6 linked regions of the Oryctolagus cuniculus genome follow. The protein of the gene in region 6 interacts with the protein of the main gene of each other region in a pairwise test. Links are inferred from orthologs where the notes say so. Each region holds a gene or a part of one and is shown on either strand. Other genes may lie near its edges. The genes, in order: RNF125, ARIH2, DTX3, RNF144B, RNF144A and UBE2L6.

Region 1 (3,500 bases), on a different chromosome or scaffold from region 6:
TCTGATTGAGTAAAATGAAAATAACTAGATATTTTTAAAAATAGACATAGGTTATGTGTGTCTAATTTTAAAAATGTATAAAAACACAGCAGGGACAGTATTGTAGCGTGGTGGGCTAAGCAGCCACCTGTGATGCTGGATCCATATCAGAGCAACAGTTCGCATCCTGACTGCTCCACTTCTAATCCAGCTCCCTTCTAACACACCTAGGAATGCAGCAGCAGATTACCCAAGTACTTGGACTCCTGCACCCATGTGGGAAATCCAGATGGAGTTCGTGGCTCCTGGCTTCAGCCTGGCCCAGCCTAACCATCATGGCCATTTGGGGTGTGAACCAACGGATGGAGGGTCTCTTTCTTTTTGTCAGTATGTCTTTCAAATAGATAAAATAATAAAATCTTTAAAAATGCAAAAACTACATAGCACAGTGGAACTAAAATGCCAGGTTGAAAAGACAAAAGGCAGCATTAACAATAAATCTAGCCGGCGCCGCGGCTCAATAGGCTAATCCTCCACCTAGCGGCCCCGCACACTGGGTTCTAGTCCCAGTCAGGGCGCCAGATTCTGTCCCGGTTGCCCCTCTTCCAGGCCAGCTCTCTGCTGTGGCCCGGGAGCGCAATGGAGGATGGCCCAAGTGCTTGGGCCCTGCACTCCATGGGAGACCAGGAGAAGCACCTGGCTCCTGGCTTTGGATCAGCGCGGTGTGCCGGCCGCAGCGCACCAGCCGTGGCGGCCACTGGAGGGTGAACCAACGGCAACGGAAGACCTTTCTCTCTCTCTCTCTGTCTCTCACTGTCCACTCTGCCTGTCAAAAAAAAAAAAAAAAAAAAAACAAAAAAAAACAATAAATCTAGGAAAGGAAGAGCCATATGCCATATGTATATCTACTAGGCATATGGATAAGTATTCAGATTAGGAAAAAAAACAATAGGTTAATCAATTAAAATGAGTGACTTCATTTCTAGTGTCATATCACTATTTGCATTACTTAAAAATATTTTAAACTTAGGGTATGACTACGGTTAGTAAACTAAAATTAGATTTTATATATGCATTTTGGATCATTTTAGTTGATTATGCCCTTGAGTATCTGTAAGAGATAATGTATAATTTCATAAATGAAAGAGCAATTGCACATTAGAAGTTCTTGTCAGTTTCAACTCAGCACTTTCACATATCATTAACATAGAATTATCATAACCTCAACATCAATTATTGTCCTTTATAACAAAGCTATAAATAGAAATCTATTAAATGGACTAGACTATCTAATGTATCCAGAATTAGGACATTACTCAAATACATAGTAGCAAAATTCCTTACCACAGGCCTCCTTTCTGATCTGTGATGAGTAATACAATGATCCAGCAGGCTGTCTTCATCCAACTCCCTCTGACAAAATGGACATACACACCTGAAAATCACAGAGAATCCAAATGTTACTCAAATTGCTGGCAATCAGAGAGTAGTAGCATAAGTAGGGATTAGAAAAATACAACAGAGGGGTATCTGATCTCTGTTCCTAATTCTTTCTTTGATTTGGCATTATTTGTTCTGTCCTGATAATAGAGCTGATCCAGATGCCTGAATTTTTCTCCTAAGAAATATCAGTTAGTAGCTTCCCTGGGAAGGCAGAAAAACAGTTAATAGTACACTTTTTTTTTTTTTTTTTTTTTAGACAGGCAGAGTGGATAGTGAGAGAGAGAGACAGAGAGAAAGGTCTTCCTTTGCCGTTGGTTCACCCTCCAATGGCCGCCGCGGCCGGTGCGCTGCGGCCAGCGCACCACGCGGATCCGAAGGCAGGAGCCAGGTGCTTCTCCTGGTCTCCCATGGAGTGCAAGGCCCAAGCACTTGGGCCATTCTCCACTGCCTTCCCAGGCCACAGCAGAGAGCTGGCCTGGAAGAGGGGCAACCGGGACAGAATCCGGCGCCCTGACTGGGACTAGAACCCGGTGTGCCGGCGCCACTAGGTGGAGGATTAGCCTGTTGAGCCACGGTGCCAGCCTAATAGTACACTTAAAGCACTTTATTCTCTTTGGAAGGGAAATATAATCAGAGCAGCCATTAATTGAGAAACTGAGGATCACAGCAATCAACAGTTCTGTAGTTATCTTTTTCTTCCTCCCTTTCATAACAGATAACATCCAAATTGGGTGCTATTTGTTCTCCAACTCCACAAGAACAGGAGTACATAATTTCAGGTGTCAACTCACATTCTTAGTTTTCGGTGCAAAATAAAAACTGACTTGTAACTACCCCGTTAAATTTTTACACAGGTTAAGCTACTGCCTACCAGAAATCTAACAGTTCAGCATTCTATTTTTGGGTCTTCTCTAATATAAACTTTTCTAAGAAAGTTACCCTAATCTCTCCATTGCGTGGTCCGTTCCCTACACAGTTTTTAAAGTAGACAATGACAATGATTGCTATTAACAAATAATTAACAGTACCAGGTTTTATGGTGAAATGCCTAAACATAACTACATAAATATTTTCATAAGCGTTAAACTCTCCTACCCCTTAAATTCTTTATAGATGCATCAGATTTAACATCAAACTCCATTGTACTGAAACAAACCTTGTTGCTGTCTCCACAAGTTCTTGTAGTGGTCCATACTTATCAATGTACTTCTGACAAGTCCTTATGTGCGCTCTCATCTCACTGAGGCAAACCTATAGAAAAGCAAATGCAAAATAACTTTCACTGTTGAAAGAGGGCTTTATGTAACCCAGGTTATAACTTTCAAATAAGATCATACTATGAGCCAGCCAGTTATTTAAATAGATGCATTCATGACAACAGTATCACGAAATTAGGGCATCATCAAGAATAAAACTATTTTAAAATTTCTCCAATACTTAGTAGACCCAAATGTTAGTTCTTGAACTTGATTCTTCTAGAAAAATATAAAGTATATGTACTTTATATATATACTATATATTATATATATTTACTTTATATACTATACATTTATAGTTAATAATTTATATATAATATACTATATTATATATATTTTATGTACTATGTATAAAGTGTATAGAACATAGAACATATATATACATATATACATATATATATATACACTTTGAATTGGAACAATGGTTAGTAACTCAAAATTTGCATTTTGTGCATGCCAGAGAAAGAAAGGAAAGAAGGAAAATGAGTGAAGAAAAGGAGAGAGGGAGGAAAAAAAGAAAAACTTAAGAAGGAAAAGAAATAAAGAGAGATAAGACTAAATGGATAAAGATCTCCACAGTAAGTTAATAGAAACCTTGTGCTTTAGGGCAAGATAAATACCATGGTTTTATAATGTACGCAGTTAAGACATGAATTCACAATGCACAATATACTTAATGGCTCCATTAAAAGCAAACATAAAAGACGGCTCTTGCCATCGATTTTCATCAGTGCAGAATAAAGAGCCCCTATTCCTCCAGATATACATTCAGAGAGCTTCACCATGAGGGGTCTATTGCTAACACAGCACATATTCTACTAA
Region 2 (3,500 bases), on a different chromosome or scaffold from region 6:
AGGTGTATTGCAGAGTGTACCGACACTGCAGCAGGAGAGAAGAGAAGGGACCTGTGTCTGTGATTCTAACCTACCTCTACCTCAGGTGGCTCTGAAAACTCTTGCCCCACCATGCAGATTAACCTGGCTCTACAGGTCTGGGCTTCAAAGAATCAGAGCCAAGCCAAGGAGAAGATGGACTGGGGCAAGACATGGGGAAAGCAGAACAGAACTGATCACAGGACACCCACCTTTCCTTTTTCAAACTGTGATTTATTACCAGCACTGCCTCAGTGACTTCTCCTTCTTGGGTTGGACATCAGAGTCCACATATCTATCTCAATATTTGTCCGAAGACTATCTTTTCATTTTCCTTTGCACGACGCAGAGATGGGACAAAGGGAGAGGAAGGGGATTCTAGTTTTCCCTGCAGGCAGAGGCAGCAGAACACTATTCTTAGAAAGCCTCTGGGGCCGGCGCCGCGGCTCACTAGGCTAATCCTCCGCCTTGCGGCGCTGGCACACCGGGTTCTAGTCCCGGTCGGGGCGCCGGATTCTGTCCTGGTTGCCCCTCTTCCAGGCCAGCTCTCTGCTGTGGCCAGCGAGTGCAGTGGAGGATGGCCCAAGTGCTTGGGCCCTGCACCCCATGGGAGACCAGGAAAAGCTCCTGGCTCCTGCCATCGGATCAGCGCAGTGCGCCGGCTGCAGCACGCCAGCCGTGGCGGCCATTGGAGGGTGAACCAACGGCAAAGGAAGACCTTCCTCTCTGTCTCTCTCTCTCACTGTCCACTCTGCCTGTCAAAAAAAAAAAAAAAAAAAAAGCCTCTGACTTCCATCAAAGGACTGAGTCCCTCAAGGGCCCAGCACAAGGAAATGTGGGTCTGTCAGCAGAAGCACATTAGGCTGTGCAGGGTGCTAACGACTCCCACTCCCCACAAGACCTCCCACCCTCAGAGGTGTGCCCTGATGGGGGCCAGGCACTGGAGAGGGGATCCAAGAGTGAGGTGGTAGATACCTTGGCCAAGAGCTTGGCAGCGTTCTGTAGATACTGCCAGTCGATCCACGTCCCCAGGTTATTCATAACCCTCTCTTGAATCTTTTCATGAATCCGCTGGTATGTCTGCGCCTCTAGCTGCAAGCTTTTGTTGTGGTTTTCCCACTAGAGGGCACAGAGAGAAGGAGAAAGCTGCAGGAATCCCAGGAGGTCCACAAGTCCACAGGTCCACACACTCAGGACACACCTTTGGCTGGCAGGGCATGACGACAGACTCCTTGAACTTACGGGGAGTGTGTGTGGCCTCCACAGTGCAGGAAGGGCTTGCTTTCAGTGCACCCACGAGAACAGTTTCAGTAAACCCTCAGAACAGCTCTCTGCCTGCCCAAGTACTCCATCCCGCTGGGGAAACGGGACTCTGGCCCTGACAGCCAAGCAAAGCGGGGGCCCCCACTAGTCTACTGTGCTTAGGGACCAACTGTCATACTCTGACTTCTGAAGGGTCTCCCTGGGGGAAACCATTCCCTAATTCTGACCACTAAGAAGGCACTGGAGGGCCAGTGTTGCGGCGCAGTGGGTTAGGCTGCCATTCTATGGGCACCAGTTCATGCCCTGGCTGCTCCACTTCCATTTCAGCTCCCTGCTGTGGCCTGGGAAAGCAGTGGAAGATGGCCCAAGTGCTCGTGCCCCTTCACCCACAGGGGAGACCTAGGATAAAGCTCCTAGCTTTGGCCTGGCTCAGCCCTAGTCGTTGTAGGCATCTGGGGTGTAAATCAGCAGTTGGAAGATCTCTCTTTCTCTATTTTAAATATAAATAAATAATTTTTTTTAAAAGCACTGGAATGAAAACTGTCTAATGAGTCTTCATTATCCTTTCATCCATCGTTAACTGAGGTCAGTTCCCTGTCCCTCTCCAGCTGTGGCTACCCAGTAGAGCCTAAAAGGCACAGGTGTAGAGGTAGCACCAGGGCTACTGGCAGGAGCTTCATTCACTGCGTTCTCTATGCACAGGCTGGCTCTGGCTACCAGTCAGCCCAGTCAGCCCACCCAGGTAGGCTAACCACAGAAGCCCACCCTGGTGGGATGGGCACAGGAAAAGACGCCTACCCTCTCAAAGTAGAACAAGTACTTCTTGAGGGCCTCCCTGGCCTGGGCTTGCTGGCTTTGGTTGACAATGTCAGGATTCTCCTTGTACCGACTGCACTCATAGTATTCACTGCCATGAGTCTTCCAGTCTCCTAGACACATCCAGCAGAAGTCTGCACAGAACAAAGGGAGAGTCACTTATAGCCGTAAGACAAACCCACATCCCTCCAAGGCACTGGCAAAGCAGTGGGATGGACAGACCCGGAGGTATCACCTGACTAGAACATCCTGGCTGCCTCTTTCCAGAGGGAACATTACCTCGCATTATCCCTGAGGCCTGTCCTTGCTGATATGACAGCTTATGGATATTCACCATTCCATGAGCACATGCGCTCTGTGTCTATTAATTTCAACATAGGTAGGTGCAGACTATACAAGGACCACGGGCCTGCTGTGTCAGTACCACTATAAGAAGCAGAAATTTGTCCAACTGAAGCCCACCTGGTTGGCTACAACACACACCATCTGTATATCCTATCTCTCATCTTCCTAACACTTGACCTAGGAAGATGTTTGTATGTGAAGCTGGTCCTCTTCTTTTTTTTTTTTTTTTTTTTTTTAAGATTTATTTATTTAAAAGGCAGTGTTATAGGAGGAAGTGGGGGGCGGGGGGCAGATGGGAGAGAGAGAGAGAGAATATCTTCCATTAGTTGGTTCACGTTCCAAATGGCAGGGGCTTGACTAGCCTGAAGCCAGGAGACCAAAACTCCATCTGGGTCTCCTATGTGGGTAGAAGGAGTCCAAGTATTTGGGCCACCTTCTGCTGCTTTCCCAGGCACATGAGCAGGGAGCTCGATTGGAAGTGGAGCAAGTGGGACTTGAATCCACAGCCATATGGGATGCCAGCACTGCAAGTGGTGACTTAACCCACGGCACCTCAATGCCAGCACCTCCCTTCATTTTTTTTTTTTAAAGAAGATTTATTTATTTATTTATTAAAAGGCACAGAGACGGGCAAGGGAGGGAGGGAGAGAAAAGGGGAGAGGAAGGGCAGGTGGGGAGGTGCATGACTCTGCTTCCAAACTAAGGAAGCAAAAAGGAAAAATTTAAGATACCCTTATGGATGCCGTACATCCCAGGAATTACTACAGCCTAACGGAGCAGGGTCAACCACAGTTCATTTGTATGTCCAATAATGTAGATGATGTCCTGTCTGCAGAGCCCCTGACAGTGGTAGGTAAACTCTGCTTAGGCTCTTGTCAAGCTGTAGGGAAGCTAAAGCCAAACCCAGAGACCCAAAGGCTGTTCAACTTCTCCTGGGAGCCTTCATCTAACAGCGGCAATACTGCCCTCTCCCTGGCAACTTGTGCTTGCTACTGTTTCAAATACCGCATTGGCTAGGGTTGCTCCTATAAGCAGTATAATTAATTACACAGCAAAGC
Region 3 (4,168 bases), on a different chromosome or scaffold from region 6:
AAGCCAGAGCACCTGTGCTCAGGTTGTCCTCCAGCCCCTTGGAGCTTCCCACATTTAAACTTTCTTTTTTCTAATTTGAGAGAGACAGATAAGAGTTCCCATCCACTAGTTCGTGTCCCCCGATGCCCACAGTAGCTAGGACTGAGGGCTGAATCTGGGAGCCGGGAACTCAGTCCAGGTCTCCCATTTGAGTGGCAGGAACCCAATCACTTGAGCCATCACCGTGGCCTCCCAGGGTCTGCATCAGGAGCTGGAGGCGGGTGTGGAACCCGGGCACTCGTGTTGGACCCCACAGTTAACGGAAAGGTGGATGCAAGCAGCTGCCCTTGGGGCTGCAGGGCTGCTCTTCTCTGTGTCTGGCTGGGACTGATCGGTTTCACGAGAGGTCATGAGGTCATAGGGAGAAGCCCTGGCTCCCCTTAATCTCCTCCAAAAGGAAGTAGCAAGAGGAGTCCCCAGCTGGGGGTTGGAACCTCTCTAATGCTTTCCCATCAGGGCCCTGATGGACCGTTTCCATTCCAGCCTGCTACCTTTTCCCTGTCGAATGCAATAAAACTCTGTGACACCAGCAACCATTGTCCTTTAGAAGTGGTGTTCTGGCCATGTGGCTGATGTATCATGGGCAGTATGGTCTTCATTTGTTGCTTCTGTTTTTCCTCTTTTTTGTTTTATTAATAAAAAGGTCTTGTGTATTTACTCCCATTACTACTACAATACAGAAAATAAATTATTCAATTCCTTTACATTATTGCCTTTTCTAAAAAAAAAAAAAACTTTGAGAAAGCCTGTACTTAGGGGTACTTCTGGCCTTCGAGGTGTGTTGGGCCCCCACTAGGCACTGGTTTTTAGGCAGAAGGCTGTGAATTCAACAGCTAGTGATGGGTGTGCACGGGAGTGGGAAACTAAATCACCTCTGGGAATGGGGCGTGGGGGGGTGACCCTCCCTCTCTGAGGCCTTCCTAGCACCAGTCTCTGGAAAGGTGAGTAGGCCTGTCCAGCAGCGAGCAGCTAAAGGCAGAGGAACCCAGTGTTCCCCCAGGGTGCACCCCCTGAAGGGCAGGCAGAGTAGCACGGGGGCCTGGGAAAGTGAAGGGTGGGGGAGTAGGGGCTGTTGCCAGTCTGGGAGAGTGAGTGTAGCTTGGCCCACGGCCTTGCTGGTGGAAAAACCTGGCTTGATGTGGCCCCTGGGAAGTGAGCTGGGTGGGGGCGGAGACTGCCTGACGTGGGAAGCAGAACAGAGCTGGCTTTTTTTTTTTCCTTTCTGAGTTTTTAACTCTATTAGAACCATACACTTGACACCAGCACCACCCCCAGTGATTTGAAAAACAAAACAGTGTATTCACTTGCTCATTCTGCACCAGCCTCGCTACCCCAGTCTTGGAAGGGGAAGGATCAGGCAGTCCCCTTGTGTGAGCGCAGGTGGTGGGGGTCCCAGGTGATCTGGGAAGAGGCCAGGGGCGAGGGAGGGCCCCGGAGCCGCTGGTAAGGAGACGCTTCTGTTTTAGAATCAGTGCGTTGCTTTTCACTGTGCCCCTTCCCATCCCGCCTCGTTCCTCCCAAGTCCCTTCCCGCACAAGGATTCGCAAACCCTGCCCCTCCAGCCCCCGCCCCCCGAAGCTGCCACGCAGCTGGCTGGGAAAGGAGAGGAGGGGCGCGAGGAGGGTGGCGTCTCCGAGGGATTTAACCTCCTACCCTCACTTACATGACGCCACCCCTCCCTCCCAAGCCTGGGACTGCGCCTCCATTTTTGTTTTGGGGCGGAAGGGCAGGGGCTCCCGCATAGCAGGGGTCAAGGGAAGCGGTAATCATCACCTGTGAGGGGAGAGGGGGTGCTGTCCTCCCTCTTCCTCAGTCTCTCACTGCACCCCTGCAGCCCCCCCAACCCTCTCAGGGTCTCCCCCCCCTTGTTGCTAAGGCCCGGACCGTCATCCCAGCAACAGCCTCAGTCATGTGACCGGCAATGGCGGCGCTGACGAGAGGTAGGTGAGCCCGGCGCCCCCCACACCCACTGCGCGCCCCCCGGCCCCCGCTCGCGGCCCCCTCACGCCCCCCCACCTCCTCTGGCATCCCCTACCCCCACGCACCGCGCCGGGGCCCCCCTCGGTGCCCGGCCCTTCATCTCTCTGATCCTCCGGCCCCGGCCTCCAGGCCTCCGTCTGGGGGTTCTGAGGGCCGCGATCAGGCCACCGTACACCACCCAGCTGGTGGTGAGGCTGTGGGGGCTTGGGCGAGTAGGGGAAGTGGGGAGTTGGGTCCAGGTCGGGACCTGGAGGGGGTCGTGGGGGGAGGGGTGGAGCTGCCACAGTGGATGCCCCGAGGGACCCTTGCCCTTCCGGGCTGTCCCTGCCTCCACCCTCTATCTGGAGGCCAGAACTGGGCCCGAGTCCGGCCAGGGCTGCCCCAGAGGAATCACAGACCCAGCCTAAGCGGTGGCCCCGCCTCCCTCTTCTGTGCCAGCAGGACTTGGAGCTAGGACACTTAGGTCCTAGGGGTCTCCCCCCCCCCCCCCCACGTCGGGAAGGGGATGCTCCATCAGGGGCAAGCACTGGGGGCTCTAAGATCCAGTGTCACTTTCTGAATCCGAGGTCCATCTGGCCTTGAGCAGACTACGATGGAGGCACAAAGGGACAGCTGCTCCTTTTTGGATCAGATAAGAAATTGAGGTCACATGGCCCCTCTTTCTAGTTGACAAGCTGCATTTGGAGGTGTTGTGAGGACAGCCCAGTGACTGAATCTGACAGGGCTCAGGGACACCTCTGACCCCTCCAGCTGTGCCCCTGAGCCCTGCCCCTCCCTAAATGCAGACCGGGGAGCTGGCAAGCAGCCCCGCGGGCATGCTGGGTCTCAAAGGTGACGGTGAGAACTTTGTTACTGCAGGGCCGCTGCCACTTTCTGCACCCCTAACTTCAGCTCACCGGCTTCAGGGCAGAGTTCTTTGAGAAAGTGGGAGCAGGACAAGGAGTTGGGGAGCACAGGGCAATTTCTTGTCTATGTGATCTGAGGGAGGTGATAAGAAAGCTCCACTGATGTGGGCTTCTGCTGTGTTGACTTATCTTACTTGGACCCTGGGCTTTTTGGGGAGCCCCAGAGCTGGAGCCGGGAAGAGGAAGGTTAACAGGTCACAGTGCCTCTTGCAACCTCGGGGGAGGCTGGGAATGGCATTCTGCAGGGGAGGAGAGTACCTGGGAGAAGTTTTGTTTCTGGGCTGCCAGGGAGAGAGAGAACATTTGCCATGGTAACTGTTAACCCTCCCCCAGCCCTGGTCAGCTGAGTGTGGATATAGAGGGGCTTCTGCTGCCGTCATCTTCCATGGGCTTTCCAGGTACTTGCCCCTTGTGGGAACCTCAGCTTCCACCCAGACATGGATCTCCTCCCTCCCGTGTCCCAAGTAACCCTATTCGGTAATCTACACTCAGAGACACACTCCTGCCTCTGTTTCAGGCTGCTGGGTTGGGACCTGTGGGAATTGGCAGAAGGGGTTTCTTACTTTTTCTCCTCTTCCTCCCCACCCTACCAGGTGATACAACCCACAAGTAGGGAGCAGGAAAGAGAGAGTGAGCCTGCATGCCAATTCTAAGCTCTTCAGGATCAAAGTGAGCAAAGGAGAGGGGGGCATCAAAACTCCCCAGAGGGCAGAGGGACACATTGTTTCTGTGTAGCGGGAGAATGGAAAGAAACAGCCAGACTGATGTTTCCATCATAACAAAGTTATGGAAACTCTTGCCTTCAGTGGGTGCTGGGGTTCAATGGAAGGTAGAGCTGGGGGAGGGGCTGGGGGCTCAGCTTTGAGAGCATAGGGGTCATGTGGGCTTTGGCAGGAGCCTGATGTAGGAGGCACTGGCACCTGTCCATGGGGACCCCCCACCCTGAGTCCCTTTCACCCTGGGGGCAGTGTCGTTCGTCCTGTCCAGAATGGCAGCCTGTGGAGGCACCTGCAAGAACAAAGTGACTGTCTCCAAGCCTGTGTGGGACTTCCTGAGCAAGGAGACCCCAGCCCGGCTGGCCCGGCTTCGGGAGGAGCACCGCGTGTCCATCCTCATAGATGGCGAGACTTCTGACATCTACGTTCTCCAGCTCTCCCCGCAGGGCCCGCCCCCCGCCCCTCCCAATGGGCTCTACCTGGCCCGCAAGGCTCTCAAGGGGCTGCTGAAGGAGGCAGAGAAAGAGC
Region 4 (2,590 bases), on a different chromosome or scaffold from region 6:
AGATATAAAACATTTTCATTTTATTTGTTAAACATTTTTGTTGTTTTATCAGTGCCTGTACACACAGCACTAAATTATCAAGAACAGAGCTGCTCTGACTTATGTATGAAAACATGTAAATAACTTGATTATCAATGAATATTTTTATAAATAGACATACTATGATATTGTTCTAGGTACTATTTTAAAAGATTAATATTTCTGAGTCTATACCCTTGGGTAAGATACGAACTTGCAACCAAAATTCACATATATAATATGCAAAATATCTTAAGCTTGATTTATATTAAGCTATTTTAGTCACAGGATAGAATGAATTTGTGTTTATTATTGAGTATATCCATGCAGGTCCAATTGGTAGAAATTCTAGATAGGCTGCAAGTCATATGGATTCCAGATGGACTTTAACATGTATTTTCGTGGTACACTTTTAAGTCTAATTTCAGATCTGTTGGGAACACAGAGCCTGAGAAAGACCCCTGGTATCTATCAGGGAGATTTTGAGTCTTTACCACTAGATCCACATTTCATATAAAGCAATTTTGTAGACCACAAGTCCAGGCTGTAAAAGACAAGTTGGCCCCAGGAAAGTTCTTTTTCGCTGAGGGAGAGACCCTAAATTAGACCATGCTGTTTCACATGCTGCAACCTGATTACTGAGGAAAAGACAACACCCTCTTGCACAGCAGTTTCTCCTGCCTGAAGCTGAGATCAGACAAGGAGAAAGCTATTGTGCTTCTGCCAGGTCACTGCGGGAACGCTGGGAACGGCACAGCCAGTAGCACAAAGCCATTGACTCCTAAGATAAGCAGGCTGCTTCCAGCTCTCATGAAAATTCTCTGTTCTGCAGTCCATCCTTCCCCTCCTACACCAGGCTTCCCTCAGGTGTCTCATGGTGGTCAAATCAAGACAGAAGAGAATGGGGTTTCTGTTATCATATGTGTTACCAACCACAACTCATTTATTACATCGAATGGCAGGCTCCTTGAATTGGCTGGAAGTTGAACAGTTCAGTGGGATCCTGTAGATGAGAAAATGATATGTGTGTTCTTCCCAATCTCCCCAAAGTGCCCAACATGCTCCACAGACACAGCCTGAATTGTAGAGCCTGGTTCTTGTTACACGGAACACTTGCACCCAGGACTTGGCCTTTGTCAATGCCGAAGGCTGGCAGGCAAGTTCAAAGTCTGGACACAGAGGCACTTCCAAAGTTTGGCAAGGAGACAAGGTCACTACGTAGGGCTTTATCGCTGTGTGCTATGTCATATAACGCAGACATTTGTGGCACATGGACATAATAGAGATCCTTAGGTTGTGGACAGGTCGTGCTTTTTCTTCTTGCCCCGACATGACTTGCAGACGCAACAGATGATGCAGGGTGAGGCCAGGAGTAACAAGGGTGAAGTCACCAAGGCAATGATGCCCAATCCTACGAGAATCCCCACCACCTAGAAATTTAAAAGAAAAGCATGTTTCAGCAGTTAAATCTTCCTACATGTGTATTTATTCCAACTGCACCATCTGCTATGGATTGTGCCCTCCAAATTAATATGCCAAAACCAAATCCCCAGTGTGATTTTGGAGATAAGGTCTTTGGAGATGAATTAAATTATAAGGGTAGGGTCCTCATGATGTGATTAGTGGCCCTATGGAAGAGATGTGCCTTGAAGGTCACCACATTGTTTTCCATGTGAATTGTGACTCCTGGGAATCAGCTATGTAGCCTTGAACCTGAACACAATCAAATAGCTCCAATAAACATTTCCTTATATCAAAAAAAAAAAAAAAAAAAAAAAGAAGAAGAAGAAGAAATGTTTGAGAGCTTGTTTCCTTTCTCCCTGTTCTTCATCAAGGGAGGACCCAACAAAAAATGGACATCTTTGAAGCAGGAAGAGAGCCCTTGAATTTCTGCTGTCTAAATCATTCAAGCAGCCTGAATAAATAAGACATCATTTGGAGCATATAAAAGTTATATCTATGGGATCTTTTCACTAGCACCCCAGCACTGGCCCAAAATGGGTACAAACCAGGGAGACACAAAAAAATCAAAATCGAGGGTGAGAGCAAACCAAATGCTAACTCCAGCTCTGTCTCAAGCTCAATCTACTCAGAAGCCATTGCTGTTGGCACTTTCTCTACCTGAGTTGCCTCTATATTCTCACAGGGATGTTAATGATTGCTGGGATGTTAGCACTGACTCCCTCAAAAGAACCGTGGCCTTTGATAAATATAAAAATAAACCATGACTCCCTTTGAACCTACCACACAAACACACAATGGCAGGTACAGAGGGTTCTAAGTCCCAGCAGGGGCTCATGGGACTGTCCAGCGCTGCCTCTGATAGGCATCATTATTAAGCATTACAGCGATTTAGGGGTCATTCCATCGAATGTCAAGGGGAAAGAGGTCTGCTGTGATTCTGTAGGTCACTGTTATCTGCATGGAGACTTTGGCAGTTGCCCCATCACTTCTCCCTATCACAGCCCAGAACATCCCAGACAGGCATGGATGGGAAGGGAAGAGAGTGACGAGGATGAATGGGTGGGCTCCTTGTTTGTCTCATGCTCCCTTCAAGTTCAGGATTACCTGT
Region 5 (4,234 bases), on a different chromosome or scaffold from region 6:
AAGAGGCTGCCAGCAGAGCAGACAGAGAGGGAACGGCCATATTGGGGGGGGGGGAGGCAGGAGGTGGCAGGAAGTCGTCTCAGGAAGCGTTGTGAGGCTGACGCCTGGGCTGTGCCATGGGGGCCACGTGGCTTTGGGGAGGGCAGTTTGGGTTTTGATAGGAGGGCAGCAGGCAGGAGAGGAAGGGGGACAGGTTGTGGACAAGTATTTATCATTTCCCAGTGACATAGGATGCTGGTGACCAGCTATGGCGCTGTGGAGAGGAAGCATTGTGTCTGCAGGACTTGGGGGTGGGGAGCCCTCCAGAGAGGGGCTTGTGCAGGGGTTGCTGGGCCACAGGAATGGCCCGTGAAGCTTGGAGCCCCATGTGAAAGACATCACTTGGGTTCTGCTGTTTCCCCAGGCTTATCAGCTGGGACTTGCATTGTCAGCAGAATGGAGCGAGCCCTTGGCCAATCAGAGAGTGACAGAGAGAGAGGGGGGCCCAAGCTGGTGGTGCATGCCAGAGAGAAACAAGGCCCATTGCAGAGGGGCTGGAGGTGGTGCAGGGAGGAAAGAAGGCGATTGGGTTGGGTGGTCAGATACTTGGAGCTCAAGGCCCTGGAGGACCTGCGGGGGGGCTGCCCTGTAGCTGACACGTGCAGCTGGGAATTCGGGCATCTGCAGGAACCCAGGGCTCCAGCGTTGCTCTCCCCGACTCCAGCTCCATGTCCAGCTGCCTCGCCCTTTCATTGGCCAGCACTGTCCACCACATGCCTGCTGTGCCCCTAGGGTAAGACCTGGAACCCATGCATTCCTGTGCTGAGTCACTGCTCAGGAACATGGCGGCGAGGAGGAAGGTTGACATTCGTGCCTGCTCTTCTTCCTCTTGTAGTCCATGGCCCACATGTACATTATAAACTTGATGTACCTATTGTTTGCAAACTTGACTTTACTGACCCTGCGTCTGTCCCCGCATTGCGTCTGTCCCTGCAATGCACGTCCGGGTGCAGAGAGGCCTGGGGCCCTGCAGGCACACAGGGACACCTTGAAGCACGTGGGATAATGCCCTGCAAGCCCGCCTGGAACTCTGCATTCTTTCCCGCGTCTGTGCACAGGCCGTGCTGTTTGGGAATCTGGTCTGCAGCACATTCCAAGAACGGTGACACGGCTTCCTATTCACAAAGGATTCGTGTCAAAGGGGACGAAATGCCAGAGAAAGACATTCCAGCCCAGGCACAGCTATTTTTAGGGGTTTAGGATTTATAAAGGGAAACGGTGTCCCTGGACTGGAAACCGGCCCCCCATTCGCACATCTGTGATTGGAGTTGCTAAATCTGAAAGACAGTGTTGTGCTCTGTTTTCTTTTTTCCCCCAAGTGCAGAATATCATTTTTTTTTTTAAATCTCTGGCTAAGAAACTTGGACTCGTCCTTGGCTGTCCTTCAGCTCTGGGAATAGCAGTGTTGGGAGGGCTGCAGCTGCTGTCTCTGAGCCCAGGCTTTGGGCGCCTGGGCCTCTAGGGCAAAGGTCATTGTCAAGGGTGAGCTGGACACGCAGCTGTCGGCCCCCAGCTCCCATCCCCGGTAGCTTCAGGGCTGCAGATGGGGAGAAACGCGTGATGTTTTCAGAACTGAGTGCGGTTGGCGGTGCCCTGCAGGGCTGCAGCGGCTGCTGCCCTTGTTCAGAGAAGCCACAGCAGCCGCGCTCTCCACGTTTGGATCAGTTACGGTTTTCTGTGCTCGCTGCACTCCGGGCTACTTTCATATATGTCCTGTGACGTCATGTATGTGGGGTGGTGGCCAGTCCATCACAGGTGAGTCTCCCATAGTCCTCCTGGCGTGTTCCTGGGATGGCGTTGATTTCTTCCCAGGGGAGCATGTGTTTGTACAAGGTCACGGGTGCTCTCAGGATAAATGCTCAGAGTACGTTTCTGGTCCAGTAATGTTAACAAGCAGCGGCGTAGGCTCCAGGCTGCAGAGGGTGAGCACAGGCCAGGGCGAAGCTAAGACAATCAAGCATGGCTGCTGGGGGGCAGGGGGACACCTCGGACAGCAGTGCTGGGGCCAGCTGGGGCTGAGCCTGACTGTGGGCAGCCCGAGGCATGTGAATCTACCCTGTGGGTGCAGAGAGCCAGGAGGCCAGGGAGAGGGGGCCAGCAGAAGTGCTGCGTGGGTGTTGTGCACACAGATGAGCTTGAGAGCAGTGGAGAGGCCCGGACGGGAAACTGGGCCCACGCCACCTACCAAAAATCAATGCATTTTTTTCTGAATGCTAACACAGGGTTGCACAGGTACACACACACACACATTGGCCAAAGAATGCCGTGCCTTCTCTCATGTGTACAGTTTGTGAATAACTCCTAATGTGGCCATGTCCCACATTGTTCTGCAATATCTATGAGAAGACCTCTCCATCGGCAGAATTCAGATCCAGTTCAGTGACCTCCATTTCATTTTAACCTTGACTTTAGTGATTGTGCTGATCTACTCTATGAGTTGTATTCTGTGACTTCTCAGAGTTTTGAATAGTACTCCTATATAGAGACAGAATATAAATGTATGTAATATGTCATAATGCGTGTAAATATATTTATACTAAATATAAACATTGTTGAGAATTTAAACGGAATTTAAAGTGAGGTTAAGCACCTCACTTAAGTCTGATTGGCTGATTGATTTGACAATGAAAATCTCCTTTTCTGCTCAGGTTATTGGAATGACTTAAATATGTCTATAATATTGACAGACTTGCAATTGGGGTCATGTGTTTTAATAACAACACATGTTAATACTCTCTTTTTTCAAACACTGGAGTATTTTTGCTTGAACAAGTTACCTCTAAGAGAAAAAGATTTGGGTGCAGTGAAATTATTTGCCAAGTTTTTTTTCTTTTTTTAAAGATTTTTGTTTTAAAGTGATTTATTTGAGAGGCAGTTACAGACAGAGAGAGGGAGAGGCAAAAAGGTCTTCTATCCACTGGTTCACTCCCCAGAAAGCTACAATGGCTGGACCTGGGCCAATCTGAAGCCAGGAGCCAAGAGCTTCTTCAGGGTCTCCCATGTGGGTGCAGGGGCCCAAGCACTTGGGCCATCTTCTGCTTTCCCAGGCCAGAAGCAGAGAGCTGGATCAGAAGAGGAGCAGCTGGGACATGAACTGAAAACCATATGGGATGCTGGTGCCGCAGGCAAAGGCTTAGCCTATTGTGTATGCCACAGCACTGGTCTCTTTGCCAAACTTTGGAATGGTGTTAGGATGAACTTCCCAGAAACCCAGCCCTGAATGACGGATGTCTTGGTATTAAATTCCTGTGCAGTTCTGGTGGTTTCCAAAGCTGTTCATTTGTGGGGAGATCTGCTGATTCAGTTGTTAGCTGGCCACGGAAATTCATCTCCATTCTATTACTTTTATTATGTGATTTTTGCCATATGTGCGGAAAAAGTTGGTAAAATTGAGTTTCATTTTTATAATAAATTATCTGTGTATATATGTGAACAAAGGAGTAAAGCCATTATAGATGTAAAAGTGAAAAACACAAAATTGATCTTGCTTTGGATCTTATTGTAAGTAATACCTATGGTTACAGAAAATTCATGAGAAAACTACAAATCTTTTTTTTTTTTTAAAGATGTTTTGATTTTTTGAGATTCAGAGTTACAGACAGAGGGAGAGACAGAGGTCTTCCATGTCTGGTTCACTCCCCAAATGGCCGCAGTGGCCAGAGCTGGACCGTTCCGAAGTCAGGAGCCAGGAGCTTCTTCTGGATCTCCCTCGTGGGTGCTGGGGCCCAAGCACTTGGACCATCTTCCACTGCTTTCCCAGGCCATCAGCAGGGAGCAGGATTGGAAGAGGAGCTGCTGGGACTTGAACAGGTGCCCATATGGGACGCCTGTTCCGCAGGCAGAATCTTAGCCTATTATGCTACAATGCTGGCCCCTAAGCCTTCTTTTTTTAAATAGAAATCTATTTTTTAGACATACATAAGAATAATATACATCAACATTATCATGTTTATGCTATTTTTCTCAATTATGTAGTAATTACAGCCATAGTAGTGTTTATTGAGAGTGAGCGAGGCAGAGAGAGAGAGTGAGAGGACTTCCATCCTTTGGTTCACACCCCAAATATCTGCAGTGGCCCCTGGCTACAGGTTGAAGCCCCACAACTTAAACTGTCACCAGTACCTCTGAGCGTCTGGGAGCCGCAGGAAGCTGCAGCCTGGAGCTGAGTGGGACTGGAACTCAGGCACTCAGGTGT
Region 6 (3,442 bases):
CAGGATGCGTGGCTGCAGGAGGCGTGGAGTCCATCCTAACTGGCAATACGGACCCAAGGGATCCACCGAAGGGCCGCTCCGTGCCTTGGCTGCCTCATCTCTAAAACGGTGGATACCCCTGGGAACCTTTTCACAAAACCTATTTACTTTCGTGTCATGTGAAAGGCAGAGACAGCAAGACACCACGAGACAGATGGAGAGCGATGTTCCGGCCGGGGGTTCACTTCCCAAATGCCGGCAATTCAGGAAGCTGAGTGGATCAGAAGCAGAACACCTGGGACTTGAACACAGACGTCCCCAGCAGTGACTCAAACGCGGTGCCACACGGCCGCCCCCCAGCCCCTGGACTCCGGAGGACCTCTGCTGGGGGTCAGCGTCCGGGAAGCAGGGCGACGGGTTTGTGGGGCAGCAGCAGCCGGGGCAGCCCCCTCTCTGGTATGGATGAAACCACCCCACCCCTCACTGGAGACACAACCCCAGAATTCACCTGTGACATAGAAAACATTTCTATTTAAAGTTTAATTTCTGTTAGAGAGAGAGAGAGAGCACTCCCATCCACTGGTTCAATCTCCGACACTGGGCGGGGGTTAAGGGTGGGGAATCAGGAACTGGGAACTCAATCCAGGTCCCCCAGGAGGGTGGCAGAGATCCAATCACTTGAGCCTTCCCCCACTGCCTCCCACAGTGCCCACGAACAGGAAGCTGGAGTCGAGAGCAGAGCTGGGATTCAAGCCCAGGCACTCCAGTATGGGACGTGGCCATCCCAACCAGGGTCTTGACCACTAGGCCAACTGCCTGCCCCATCTGTGACGTCACTGGCCAGGCAAGCACTGGGCTCTGTAGATTCTGCTGGACCGGGTGCTGGCCACAGCCTTACCGTCCCCAGGAACTGGCCACCTGGCAGGATAGCAGGAAATGTCAAAATACACAGTCAGACTCCCCGGATGGAGGTCAGACTCCTCGTTTTAGGATTCAACAGTGGAAAATGGAAAATGAATGGTTTAGCACCTAAATCGGTGCATGGCGCTCAGTAGCTTGGCTGGTTTCAACCACTCCACTGAAATATGAAATACAGTGCCCTCCACGAGCCCGGCTTCCCATCCATACTCCCTGCTCCCTGGGGCCCTGGACCCTGGAGGGATCCTGGTTTCCAGCAGGCTGACTTAGAATGTGACCTGTCTCTCTCTCCCTGGAGATTTAACCTGTTCACTCTGCAAACTTAAACCCCCTTGGCTGTGGGGAAGGCTCAGGGAGTGGGCAGGGCACACCTGTGGCCAGGTGAACCTGGGGGCAGCGAGGCCTCACACCACACACACATCCACAGCCTCCCTCCTGCCACACACACATACACAAACTCATGGCTAGCAACCTAAGAAGGAAAAACTGAGTGGGGAGTGGTTCATCCAGGGGCTCCAGCCCCAGTCCGTGAGGTATATTGGTCCACCATGCAGAGGATCCCACGCAGATGGGGTCAAAACCCAATTTAGGAGGGCCGGTCCACTCCGAACTGGAGGGTGAACTCTTCTGCCTTCCTCTGGAACAGCTCCGGGTTCTGGGTCAGCAGGTCAGCCAGCTCTACCCGCACGGGCTCCGCCAGATCCGGTCTATTCACCAAATTGTAGAGGGCCTCCAAGACTGTGGAGAGAGGCCAGAGCGGGACATCAGGGCAGAGGGAAAAACCCTGGATAGAGGCACTGGCTGTCCACTCCCCGGATCCCCCCACTCACTGCTCAGGGGGACCCCCAAGGACAGTCCATCTCTTAGACTGCCTCCCCTTCCTGGTGGACGATGCCCAAAGCTTTGCCGGGTGAGATCAGTGTTTTACAAACAGCTATGTCCTATGGCTTCAGAAAAGTTACACATTCTGGGGTCACTGAGATAAGAGAGATTTTGGGGTTTCAGCCCCATTTCGACAAGACCCATCCTGGTTTTCTGTTGTTATTCTGGGATTCCAAATAAATTTATCTGGGAAAAAAAGGTTCTAAGGCTGAAGATGGAAAACCTATTGCTATGGCACTTAATCTTTTCCAGATGCCCTTGGGAGCCCCGTGCAGGTGGAAGCCCAAGTACACATGTGTACGCACATAAACACAGCTCTGAGTGAACAGTGCGTCACCACAGAGCCCTGAGGCTCATCCTAGGACCTCTCCCACATCCCAGCCCCACCACCACCACGCCAAGAGTCTTGTTTCCCAGGTTAAGAATTCCCGAGCTGGACCAGACACACGACAGCACCCAGAGGAAGCCCATGGGTTCTGGAGCTCCATTGTTCAATGTGGAGCTCCATGTAGTTTTCTAAATTAACTAAAATTAAACAACATGAACAAGGTGGGAGCTGTGGCTCAGCAGGTTAACGCCCTGGCCTGAAGCGCTGGCATCCCATATGGGCACCAGTTCAAGACCTGGCTGCTCCACTTCCAATCCAGCTCTCTGCTATGGCCTGGGAAAACAGTAGAAGACGGCCCAAGTCTTTGAGCCCCTGCACCTGCAGAGGAGACCCGGAAGAAGCTCCTGGCTCCTGGCTTCAGATCAGCACAGCTCCAGCCATTGCGGCCAACTGGGGAGTAGACCATCGGATGGAAGACCTCTCTCTCTCCCTCTCTCTGCCTCTCCTCACTCTGTGTAACTCTGACTTTCAAATAAAAATAAATAAACCTTTAAAAAAATATCTTGCCCCCTATATGGGCCACAGCTTTCCTAAAACAAACAAAAACAAAAACAACAACAAAAAACATCATGAAGAATTCTGTTTCTTGGTTGCACAGCCACATGAGGCCCGGGATGATGGTACCAGACAGTGGGGCTGTGGAAATTTCCATGGCCGCACCAAGTTCAGCTGGACAACACTGCTCTAGAGTCAGCCAAGCTCTGCCATCTGCAAGCCACAGGACCTTAGGCAGCGGCTTCACCACTCATGTGCCTCTGGCTCTATTACATGGGGCTAATGACAGCACTACCTCCTGGGGGTGATGCGGGCAGGCTCACAGTGCTCTTTGCACAGTGCACTGACAGCGCTTAGTTAAGGGATGAATACTGTCACAGTTAGGACAATCCCCTCCACTGTCAACTGTCACTTAGGGTGCTGAGTCCCACAGAGGAATAGAGTCTTGCCCTAAGTCCACACATGGGGCAGCAGGCCTTCTTAGTCCCAAGCCCTGCCCCCTGCATTCACGCTGCCTCTCTTTCCCATGTCCATGGTCAAGTTCCTCTGTCACACCTGCCCAGGAGCATCCAGGATCTCAGGAGGCACCCCTTCTCTCTAACGGTAGGTTCCACGGAGACTCACATTTTATCTCCTCTCTTTCAGGCTTGTCTAACTCAAAATAAGTCCACTAACTTCCTCCACCCAGTAACAGTGTCGCCCTCAGGGGTAAGGCCCAGCCCCACCTTGGTAGGCCTTGGTGTAAGGCTTCCAGTTCTCTTTGCTGATGATGGGCAGGCA

The links.
Region 1: the proteins of UBE2L6 (region 6) and RNF125 interact in a two-hybrid assay, tested with the Homo sapiens proteins (3 studies listed by BioGRID and IntAct). The link is inferred for Oryctolagus cuniculus from reciprocal best matches to the Homo sapiens genes UBE2L6 and RNF125.
Region 2: the proteins of UBE2L6 (region 6) and ARIH2 interact in binary tests that used the Homo sapiens proteins (3 or more experiments, as listed by UniProt). The link is inferred for Oryctolagus cuniculus from reciprocal best matches to the Homo sapiens genes UBE2L6 and ARIH2.
Region 3: the proteins of UBE2L6 (region 6) and DTX3 interact in binary tests that used the Homo sapiens proteins (3 or more experiments, as listed by UniProt). The link is inferred for Oryctolagus cuniculus from reciprocal best matches to the Homo sapiens genes UBE2L6 and DTX3.
Region 4: the proteins of UBE2L6 (region 6) and RNF144B interact in binary tests that used the Homo sapiens proteins (3 or more experiments, as listed by UniProt). The link is inferred for Oryctolagus cuniculus from reciprocal best matches to the Homo sapiens genes UBE2L6 and RNF144B.
Region 5: the proteins of UBE2L6 (region 6) and RNF144A interact in a two-hybrid assay, tested with the Homo sapiens proteins (2 studies listed by BioGRID and IntAct). The link is inferred for Oryctolagus cuniculus from reciprocal best matches to the Homo sapiens genes UBE2L6 and RNF144A.

What each region holds. Positions count from the first base shown.
Region 1 is NC_091441.1:45,592,409-45,595,908, forward strand, and holds part of RNF125 (E3 ubiquitin-protein ligase RNF125), read right to left. Parts: intron 2,674-3,500; coding exon 2,579-2,673; intron 1,415-2,578; coding exon 1,324-1,414; intron 1-1,323. UniProt on the Homo sapiens protein: E3 ubiquitin-protein ligase that mediates ubiquitination and subsequent proteasomal degradation of target proteins, such as RIGI, MAVS/IPS1, IFIH1/MDA5, JAK1 and p53/TP53.
Region 2 is NC_091441.1:100,171,768-100,175,267, forward strand, and holds part of ARIH2 (E3 ubiquitin-protein ligase ARIH2), read right to left. Parts: intron 2,232-3,500; coding exon 2,080-2,231; intron 1,138-2,079; coding exon 994-1,137; intron 52-993; coding exon of another isoform or gene 26-51; coding exon 1-25.
Region 3 is NC_091442.1:60,208,538-60,212,705, forward strand, and holds the start of DTX3 (probable E3 ubiquitin-protein ligase DTX3), read left to right. Parts: upstream 1-1,368; 5' UTR 1,369-1,482; intron 1,483-1,531; exon of another isoform or gene 1,532-1,915; 5' UTR 1,916-1,979; intron 1,980-3,257; exon of another isoform or gene 3,258-3,401; intron 3,402-3,517; 5' UTR 3,518-3,564; coding exon 3,565-3,593; intron 3,594-3,686; exon of another isoform or gene 3,687-3,892; coding exon of another isoform or gene 3,893-3,911; coding exon 3,912-4,168. UniProt on the Homo sapiens protein: Regulator of Notch signaling, a signaling pathway involved in cell-cell communications that regulates a broad spectrum of cell-fate determinations.
Region 4 is NC_091436.1:145,659,766-145,662,355, reverse strand, and holds part of RNF144B (E3 ubiquitin-protein ligase RNF144B), read right to left. Parts: coding exon 2,587-2,590; intron 1,449-2,586; coding exon 1,308-1,448; 3' UTR 1-1,307.
Region 5 is NC_091433.1:194,632,064-194,636,297, reverse strand, and holds the start of RNF144A (E3 ubiquitin-protein ligase RNF144A), read left to right. Parts: upstream 1-1,434; 5' UTR 1,435-1,766; coding exon 1,767-1,794; intron 1,795-4,234. UniProt on the Homo sapiens protein: E3 ubiquitin-protein ligase which accepts ubiquitin from E2 ubiquitin-conjugating enzymes UBE2L3 and UBE2L6 in the form of a thioester and then directly transfers the ubiquitin to targeted substrates.
Region 6 is NC_091432.1:14,578,014-14,581,455, reverse strand, and holds the end of UBE2L6 (ubiquitin/ISG15-conjugating enzyme E2 L6), read right to left. Parts: coding exon 3,388-3,442; intron 1,636-3,387; coding exon 1,484-1,635; 3' UTR 501-1,483; downstream 1-500. UniProt on the Homo sapiens protein: Catalyzes the covalent attachment of ubiquitin or ISG15 to other proteins. Functions in the E6/E6-AP-induced ubiquitination of p53/TP53. Promotes ubiquitination and subsequent proteasomal degradation of FLT3.